2 linked regions of the Arabidopsis thaliana genome follow. The protein of the gene in region 1 interacts with the protein of each later gene in a pairwise test. Each region holds a gene or a part of one and is shown in the gene's direction. Other genes may lie near its edges.

Region 1 (4,374 bases):
ATAAGATGTTGTGAAAATCTTAGATTGTTCTCGAATTTGTTTTTGATGTGTAGATTCAAAGTTTTGAAGCTGATATCTTAGTACCTCAACTAACATCTCAAGAAGGTGGGCCAGAGACATACAGGGGAGTGTTCATACGTGCTCCAGCTGTTCTTGATGTAGGTCCTGATGTCGAAGTCCTGGCGGATTATCCCGTCCCATCAAACAAGGTCTTGTATTCAAGCTCCACCGTACAAATTCAAGAGGTTTGCTTAATTTTGCACTAATTTTCATGAAACGATTACTCTTTTGTGAGCACATGTATGAATCCCTTCTTGTTGGTTTCATTTTTTGGGGATAAATCAGGAAGATGCTCTTCCTGAAACAAAAGTCATTGTTGCTGTGAAGCAAGGAAACTTGTTAGCAACTGCTTTTCATCCCGAGCTTACTGCAGACACTCGATGGTAATTGATTAACATTTTCCCCGATCTTTTGATATTTGCAGCAATGATCTATATGGTCTGTTTTTACTCTTTCCGGTTTCATTTTTTTTGCAGGCACAGTTATTTCATAAAGATGACGAAAGAGATTGAGCAAGGAGCTTCTTCAAGCAGTAGTAAGACTATTGTATCTGTTGGAGAAACAAGTGCTGGTCCCGAGCCAGCTAAGCCTGATCTTCCTATATTTCAATAACTGAACAGAGAGAAGATACACACTTCTTAAAATAAAAACCAGAGAAAGTGTCAGATTCTTTATCTTTCTAAAGATGTTTTGGAAAAATTGCAAGCTAGTTTGCAATTTGCACTCAAGAAAGTTTCACAAGACTCTTTAATGGATTCATGTACTTGTTTCTTGATACAACTTTATATATACAGTTGAATCTCAAACTTTTTTGCTGATTCAATTTGGTCTATGTCTTGTGAAATGTGAAAGGTCGTTTGGCCAAGAATTAAGCTTTAGATAACTGTCAGCGTTTATAGGCAGAACAGAACATGCTCTGAAAGTATAACTCGGTAGGGTTTTGGTTCAATGGTTTAGAAGCTAACCCGGTTTATAGTAAACCAGTCAGCTGACTTTGACGCGTTTGACTTTTCATTGCTTTCTCGAAAGGGTGCAATCTTGTAGTAGTGGGCGGCTTTGGGCCAATGAAAGTCAAGAAAAGTTACTTAAAATGCACACATTTACAGATATGTTAAGACATGAGGGCTTTCTTCTTCATTTAAGGCATCCTCACGTTCTAGATACTCGTTTCCTTGCACATAAAGCCATCAAGAATTAATTTTGTTTTTCTTCAGAAAATAGAGAAAATTTTCAAATTTGTATATATAGTGTATAGAAAGATATACAGACCGGATTTTTCAAATTTATTGTATCGATAACCAAAATTTTCACCCTTTTTTATTATTTTTTGTCAACTAAATGAATACTAACTTCACCCTGTTTTCTCATAGTAAATTGCTAATATAATTCAACTGGGAACAAATGAAGCAAGTATGAATATGATTTGATCATGAGGCATTAAGAACTAGGTAAAAATTTGTGAACTGATATTATATGTATGGTTGTGTTTAAATTAAACAACTCTTTTCTAGCTAAAAGACTTGATGTTGAAGCTTCATCAAGCTAGATTTTTGTTAAGAAATCAATGGAGACGACTTGAGATGAACTCAAAGAGTCGGCTTCTTTCTTAAGATGAAGCAAGGGATATTATCATATGGGGTTTTAATAAGTCAACTCAATTCTTTGCCCATTCTATATAATCCCTTCTTCTGCAACAACATCTCATCACACCAAAAAACACAGAAACATTTTGAGAAACCAAAGAAGAAGAAGAAGAAGAAGAACAAGCAGAAGCTAAAGAAGAAGACTTGAACTTGAGAGATGGAGCGCAGACAGTCATATGTGCTTGTCGCGCTCATTGGATTGCTTCTCTTGACAGATATTGTCATTGCACAGAGCGATGGCGGCAAAGGCAACGGTAACAATGGCAAGGGGAACGAGGTACAAGTAGACAAGGGTAAAGGAGATAATGGCAAAAGTAACGGTAACGGTCCAAAGGATAAAGAACAGGAGAAGAAGGACAAGGAGAAGGCAGCCAAGGACAAGAAGGAGAAGGAGAAAAAGGATAAGGAGGAAAAGGAGAAGAAGGATAAGGAAAGGAAGGAAAAGGAGAAGAAGGATAAACTGGAAAAGGAAAAGAAGGATAAGGAAAGGAAGGAGAAGGAGAGGAAGGAGAAAGAGAGAAAGGCGAAGGAGAAGAAAGACAAAGAGGAGAGTGAAGCAGCTGCGAGATACAGAATATTATCACCGTTGCCTACAGGACAAGAGCAGGCCATGTGCCAAGGTCGGGGATCATGTTACTACAAGACTCTTGTTTGCCCTGGTGAGTGTCCCAAGAGGAAGCCCACGAAGAACAAGAACACCAAAGGTTGCTTCATTGACTGCACTAACAAATGTGAAGCTACCTGCAAATGTAAGTACATTCTATTCAATTGGTCTCCTTTGTTCTATATTCAGTTAGCTTATCGCACAAGTAACAAGAATATAGATTTCAGTTGTGGATTGATAATTTGTGGTACAATGAATTTGTTTACTTATAACCCAAGTAACTTGGCTTAATTTCGGGTTCCTCTTTCTTTCAGGGAGAAAAACGAACTGCAATGGTTACGGATCTCTGTGCTACGACCCTCGATTTGTGGGAGGAGACGGTGTGATGTTCTATTTCCACGGATCCAAAGGAGGAAACTTTGCGATTGTTTCAGACAACAATCTCCAAATTAACGCTCACTTCATCGGTACAAGACCCGTTGGGAGAACCAGAGACTTCACATGGGTTCAGGCCCTAAATGTCATGTTCGAAAACCACAAGCTCGTGATCACAGCCAACAGAGTGAATCAATGGGATGAAACATCTGACGCCTTTACCATCAGATATGATGGAGAACTCATCACACTCCCTGAAGACGAACAATCAGAATGGAGGGAAATTTCAGGACAAAAGAAGGATATCATCATCGAAAGAACTGATGAGAGAAACAGCGTAAGAGTACTTGTCTCTGATCTTGTTCAGATGGACATCAGAGTGAGACCTATAGGGAAAGAAGAGAACAGAGTTCACAACTATCAGTTGCCGCAGGATGACGCTTTTGCCCATCTCGAGACTCAGTTCAAGTTCTTAGACCTAAGTGAGCTCGTCGAGGGTGTTTTGGGGAAAACCTACCGTCCTGATTACGTCAGCTCTGCCAAGACTGGAGTCCCAATGCCTGTATTGGGAGGAGAAGACAAATACCAAACGCCTTCTCTGTTCTCGCCGACTTGCAGACTGTGCAGGTTCAAGCCTCAAGAAGAATCACTTTCTGCTGATATCTAATGAGAAGAAGGAGAAAGATGGAAACTTCTTTGATTTTTAAATAAATTCATGGAAATTTCGTGTTTGTAACTGTTTTGTTTCTGGAAATATTTTATATTCATAAAAAGTGATGTAATAAAAGCCAAAAAGATAACATTTGGCCTGTTTGTGATGTTTTTGAGGGTTTAAGAAATGTAAAACATTTCTTGTGCAAGAAGCAACCCCTTGATTTCTTATCGTTCCTTTGCTGTATTTTGTGTACCTATCCGTTTATCGAACAATAAAAAAAAAAAAAACTATATTTGTGTGTATATTCATGTATTTGAATCTGAAATTAAGTTTCTTGGTTCCAGTATTTTGTATATTCTTCACTTTGAAAGCAAGTGTTTTTTTGGGGGTTCTCACGAACAACTGGAGATGCTTCGAGAGCACTCTTTTCACTAAAACTTATAAACCAGTAGGAAAAATCAGATTTAAATAATCAAATAAGTTGGTGCATAAAGAAAAGGTTTCCAATTTTCTAGGCATAGTTCATGTGATCCAAGGAAATTAAACTATGTTACTCATCACATGAGTACATGGCTTCAATACCATCTAATCATATTTCTATTGAGTATATGGAATTAATATATAAATGTCAACTCCACAATGATGATTAGTTAGTGCAACCACTCGTAGTTTTGAATTGTTTTCTAATCATGAATACAATGCATAGATCCGTTATCGATGGTTGTCATTAGCTTTTCATCCTTTAATTGTGTGAAACCATTATTTACAACAAGGAGAGATAAATGTGGAAACAAATTCGTGAAAAAGATGAACTGCACATTTGTATATATTTAATTCAATGATGTCCTTAGATTAACAAGCAGGAAATGTTAACATATATAGTTAATTTTTTTTTGTAAAATTGTTACAGCCGACCTTTGGTTAATGATTTATATTACAATTTACTCTATTTTCTATCGGCTGACTTTTCCCTGTTAGAAATGCAGATTTTCAATTTTTGTTAATTATTCATGTCAAGAACTTAATATTTGAAGCTA
Region 2 (5,302 bases), on another chromosome or scaffold:
ATAGAGTCTTTTTGAAACAAAGATTGGCATACCATGGTTGCAAAAGTCAATGCCAGGAACAAGCCCCTCAACCCATATTGTATCTCCGGATCCTACAGATGGCGCAGGTTGAGCCTGAATTTCTACCCATCAGAAAATGAAGAAACCCATGAAATTGTCGTTACATGATAGAATAATAATAATTAAAAAAGAGGCATTTCACACAGAATTCAGCAGACCGACGTTAATGACTTGCCTTTTTCCTCATTAGAATTAACTGGAGCCGTTTCAGGGGACTCACTTGTTGATGTGCATTCCCCGGTATCATCTTGGCTTTGTGGAAACACGAAAGAATGTGGAAGAGGAATATTCAAGGCGCGACTCCAGAATACAGAGTTTGCCCTGGCATAATTGAAAAAAGTCGCAAGATCACTAAGCAGCCCTTTACAAGACACAAAAGTCTGGTTCTACTAACAAGGAATAACACCAGTACCAAACATACCAGAGGAAGTGTTCAAAGGAGACCTTGCTGCACGAAGAGAGAAAACAAAATATGATTATCAATGAACAATAATTTGGTCTAAAAGTAGTGTAAATATGTCAACCTTTCGGAATCGCCATCCAAAATAAGAAGCTTTGTCACCAGGACCTCCACCTTGTCATGGTAAAGCGAGAGCAACTTCTTCTTCTGAGAATGAATACACGATGGTTATTGGGTTTAATAAATGAAAAGAGAAAATGTGGTTGCTATTTTAAGGACGATATGATAAGACAGGAATAAATGATCAAGATTGAGACCTGTAACTCGGTTGCGTGATACAAGTTAGTCCCTTTTAGCTCAAGGATGTCATCATCAGAAAACCAAAGAGGATTGCCAAATCGAGTAGGAAGCATATCAAGATACCTATCATATCATTTCTAGACAGATGAATACCCTTAAGCTTACGTAAATGTGTGCTAAGAGATTAAAAAAAAAACTTACGGCTTCCAAGAAGAATTGATACGAAGACGCTCCAAAGTGAGGAACAGAATCATGAGAAAGCGGTCATCAACTTGTCCTTGTTCGAACATTTTCTGACACTCAGGGCCCAGGAGAGGGTCCTGAAGAACTCTCATAGGGGTAATGGCCAGATCAAGCGGAACAACAAGCAAAACTTCTGAAAATTTCCAGAGCTGAATCAGAATTCAATATCAACTTTCCATACATATTCCCCGGAAAAAAACCCAGCAAGAAATGGTAAGAACAATACTATACCATCGGAAGCTTGAGTGGAGGTGGAAGCGAATATGCCAAATCCTTTTAGGGAGTCAGAATATTTGATGTTGCAGCCTCTTAATTCACCTCCATTCACCTGAATGAAATTAGATCGAAACACAAAATGCCATGATATAGAGCAGCAGATCAGGACTGAAAAACAACACTTAATCCGGATCTAACCTGAAGCCAATCTAGGAACCTTTCGAGTTTGGCTTCTTCTTCTGAAATCGCCATATCCTCCGGCGAAGATCAATATGCCGGCGACGGGTTTAACCGAGTAGAGAGGGGTTTTCAATCGTAACTCACAATACGCTGTCGTAATGGCTTCATCTATGTGGGCTTTTGTATGGGCTTATTTAGCGTTTATGAACTTAAACACACCAAATTTAAATTTTTAACAAAAAAAGAAAAATTGAACAAGTGAAAAACGATAACCAAAAAAATCAAACCAAGACTGCTGTGATATCCCAAAACCGAGAACCAAAATATTGAACCGGGCGGCGTTAAAAGTCTCTCGCCGCAGTTAAACTCTTCCGTACGCCAAATATCTAACAAGGAGCTCTTTAGATTGAGACTAGTGGAAGAGAGACGAGCAAGGAATTAGCAATGGCGGCGGATTTGCCGGAGGCGACAGTACAGAACATTCTGGACCAAGAGTCTCTTAAATGGGTTTTCGTCGGAGGTAAAGGAGGTGTTGGGAAGACGACATGCAGTTCAATTCTCGCAATTTGTCTCGCCAGTGTTCGATCCTCCGTTCTCATCATCTCCACCGATCCTGCTCACAATCTTAGTGATGCCTTTCAGCAACGCTTCACTAAATCTCCCACTTTGGTTCAAGGTTTCTCTAATCTCTTTGCCATGGTAAGCTTTCTCCGATTTTGTTCTAGATCGTGCTAGATTTTAGAGGGAATTTGGTAGTTTCGCTCCTGGATTTTAATCTCATTGGGAATTAGGGTTCTCTGATTCACGAATTTCAAACCGCAGATTGATGGATCAATTTTGATTTTGAAGTCAGATTTAGTACTTGCATAAATACGGTTGATTTGTGCCTTTCTTATCATATGCCCACTCTGATTTTGGGGATTAGGTTTGGAATTTGGACGCCAATTTGTATTCTTGATACGGAAGGGGATTGTGAAGAAGATTTGATGTCCCCAAATCAAATCGAATTTTTGTCTATTGTAGTTAAAATTCATGGCTAGTTATGCCAAATTCAAAAAAAAAAAAAAAAGTTGTTTTTTGTGGTTCTGGGTCGCCTCTAATAGACAGGCTTGATGATGACTTTATGGCTACTCTTCTAAGCTTGAAGCTCTTAGTTGTGTCTGTGTGTATATGTATATATATACACATACTATAAGCAAATGGTTACGATTCACACTCCTTCCCTCTTGATAGTGAGTGAATCTTGTTTGCTTTTCTCAGGAGGTAGATCCTACCGTTGAAACTGATGACATGGCTGGTACAGACGGGATGGATGGTTTATTCTCTGATTTGGCAAATGCGATTCCTGGAATCGATGAGGCTATGAGTTTTGCTGAGATGTTGAAGTAAATAGCCATTTAGTTCTTCTAGTAATCATCTGCCTTTATCCATGTATTATCACAGTCAAATTTTGATATGTTTATGTTTCCTTAGGTTGGTGCAAACAATGGATTATGCTACTATTGTGTTTGACACTGCTCCTACTGGACATACTCTCCGCCTGTTACAGTTTCCGGCCACACTAGAAAAGGGACTTTCGAAGTTGATGTCATTGAAGAGTAGATTTGGTGGCTTGATGACTCAGGCATGTCTTTAAGCTTGTCAAATTCAGTTTGCTTGGCAACAGATATTGCTCTTTGGTTTCTTCTTTGGCTGATTTTTCATGGAACTGATTGGTAATGCAGATGAGCCGTATGTTTGGCATGGAGGATGAGTTCGGAGAGGATGCTTTGCTGGGAAGACTTGAGGGCTTGAAAGATGTGATTGAGCAAGTAAATCGGCAATTCAAAGACCCGGTAACATTTTTTCAATTGTTTAAGTTCTTTGCTATTTTCAGTACTCATTGACTGTTTTCTTAACTCTGTTCGTGAAGTTTAGTTTTAGATTCTTCACATTGTTCTGTAGCATACGGTTTGACAGCATTCATTTGCATTAGTGAAAATTCTGATACATATCTAACAAACTCTGCATTTTAAGATAAGAAATTGACACATTTGGCTCCATTACGTAGGATATGACTACGTTCGTTTGTGTCTGCATCCCCGAGTTCTTGTCTCTCTATGAAACAGAGAGACTTGTTCAGGAACTCGCCAAGTTTGAGATTGACACGCATAACATTATCATCAACCAAGTACTATACGACGACGAAGGTGCCTATTTATTTGCTGTCGTGTCTATCTTCTCGTTTTGAACTTGTTTTACATACAAATTTGACGAATTATCTACACTTGTCTTCTGTAGATGTGGAGTCCAAGTTGCTCAGAGCAAGGATGCGGATGCAACAGAAGTATCTTGATCAGTTTTATATGCTATACGATGACTTTAATATCACAAAGCTTCCTCTGCTTCCGGAAGAGGTAAGAACGCATGACATTCAATATAGATGAGAAGGAACATGATCAAGACGAAAATGAAACTAAAGCCTTATATAATATACATCCTGAGATTTACACTTGTTGTGGATGTTTGGATCACAGGTGACAGGGGTTGAAGCCTTAAAGGCGTTTTCACATAAGTTCTTGACGCCGTACCATCCTACCACTAGCAGGAGCAATGTAGAGGAGCTGGAGAGGAAAGTACACACATTGCGTTTGCAGTTAAAAACAGCTGAAGAAGAACTCGAACGGGTCAAGAGTGGCTAAAGATAAGGCTCTGTTCTTCCCTTTAATTGTAAGTTTCTTTCCTCGCCATATTCTTGGAACTCACTTGCTTTCTACATGGGGGTCTTCTGGATCTGCGTTGTCATTTGGGTTTATTGTTGTTTATGTTTTGAACAATTTATAGGTGGAAAATTAAAACTGAATCTTTTTCTCTCTAGTTCTTCATCTAGCAACAACTCTTTATAGGACAGGAAAGAAGATCAAGCAGAATCTTCTTTTGCGTTGTTTTATTGTTATGCATTGGATTTGTTTTTATATTTGTAATAATCATGACTACATAGACTCATATCTACCAAGAAATCGTTGTTTTACGACTTAATCAGCTTTTTATATATTAAGTTGAAGGGTATCTGTGACAAGCGAATGCTATGATCTCTTGTAACAGCTTTTTATATACTGTAGACTGGTCTTGCAACAGAGAAGGAAAATTCATGTAAAAAAATTATAGTAAATAAGAGATGTTTTGATTTATTGACAAATTCTTACAAGTTTAGGGTAAGCTTTTGTTCAATAAGTTTCTTTGGTATATAATAAATATGAAAATGGCAATCAATAGATGCGAAATTTATTCCCACGTCACGGCGATTGGGCTTCTGACGTTGTATTTGTCACATATCCAAACCAAAACTCCAAAGGAAGACGAAGACGAATTTCTCGAAGCTTCTGCATCATACGTCACCGTATAACTCAACCTCTCTCTGGCCTTCTGGAACTTGAGCACCTTTGGTTCAACTCTCACCTTCACACCTTTTGGTTCCTCAACGTGCACCATATACTCACAAGTCGGTGACCCAACGTTAGTCACAGTCCTCTTATATCTCACCGTTTTCAAATTCGCGCCATTAACGAGGTTGACCGCGAACGAGGGATAGTTCAAATCACCGGGACTCAAAACGACGGCGTTACTAGCACACGTGTAGTTAGTGCCGGAGAACAAGAGTATTCTCTCACTCGTGTAGTTCAAGCTGCACAAGTAGTTGAGATAATCGACGGTGGAGGTATCGTATACCAGCCCGGGATCTACCGCTCGCGTGGGATCCACGTTTCCCGCTCCAAACGCAAACGCTGTGGCCGCCGATTCAGCTCCCGCGGCGCCTCTATCTCCGATCGGTCGGTTCCTATTGTCAGTGATCCTCGCCGTCGTCATGATTGCTGATTTGATCATCGCCGGTGACCAGTCCCCGTGAACGGACTTGATTAGAGC

The links.
Region 2: the proteins of AT5G60530 (region 1) and AT1G01910 interact in a two-hybrid assay, tested with the Arabidopsis thaliana proteins (one large-scale study listed by BioGRID).

Annotation. Positions count from the first base shown.
Region 1 is NC_003076.8:24,333,172-24,337,545, reverse strand, and holds AT5G60530 (late embryogenesis abundant protein-related / LEA protein-like protein), read left to right. Parts: upstream 1-1,687; 5' UTR 1,688-1,860; coding exon 1,861-2,452; intron 2,453-2,621; coding exon 2,622-3,349; 3' UTR 3,350-3,639; downstream 3,640-4,374. Other genes in the region: PDX2 (pyridoxine biosynthesis 2), read left to right, coding at 54-245, 346-443, 537-672.
Region 2 is NC_003070.9:312,373-317,674, reverse strand, and holds AT1G01910 (P-loop containing nucleoside triphosphate hydrolases superfamily protein), read left to right. Parts: upstream 1-1,584; 5' UTR 1,585-1,843; coding exon 1,844-2,098; intron 2,099-2,659; coding exon 2,660-2,784; intron 2,785-2,872; coding exon 2,873-3,023; intron 3,024-3,123; coding exon 3,124-3,234; exon of another isoform or gene 3,235-3,449; coding exon 3,450-3,588; intron 3,589-3,679; coding exon 3,680-3,795; coding exon of another isoform or gene 3,796-3,803; intron 3,804-3,915; coding exon 3,916-4,080; 3' UTR 4,081-4,521; downstream 4,522-5,302. Other genes in the region: AT1G01920 (SET domain-containing protein), read right to left, coding at 33-114, 219-381, 482-508, 585-667, 778-883, 962-1,136, 1,235-1,331, 1,418-1,471; SBTI1.1 (subtilase family protein), read right to left, coding at 4,664-5,302. UniProt on the Arabidopsis thaliana protein: ATPase required for the post-translational delivery of tail-anchored (TA) proteins to the endoplasmic reticulum. Recognizes and selectively binds the transmembrane domain of TA proteins in the cytosol.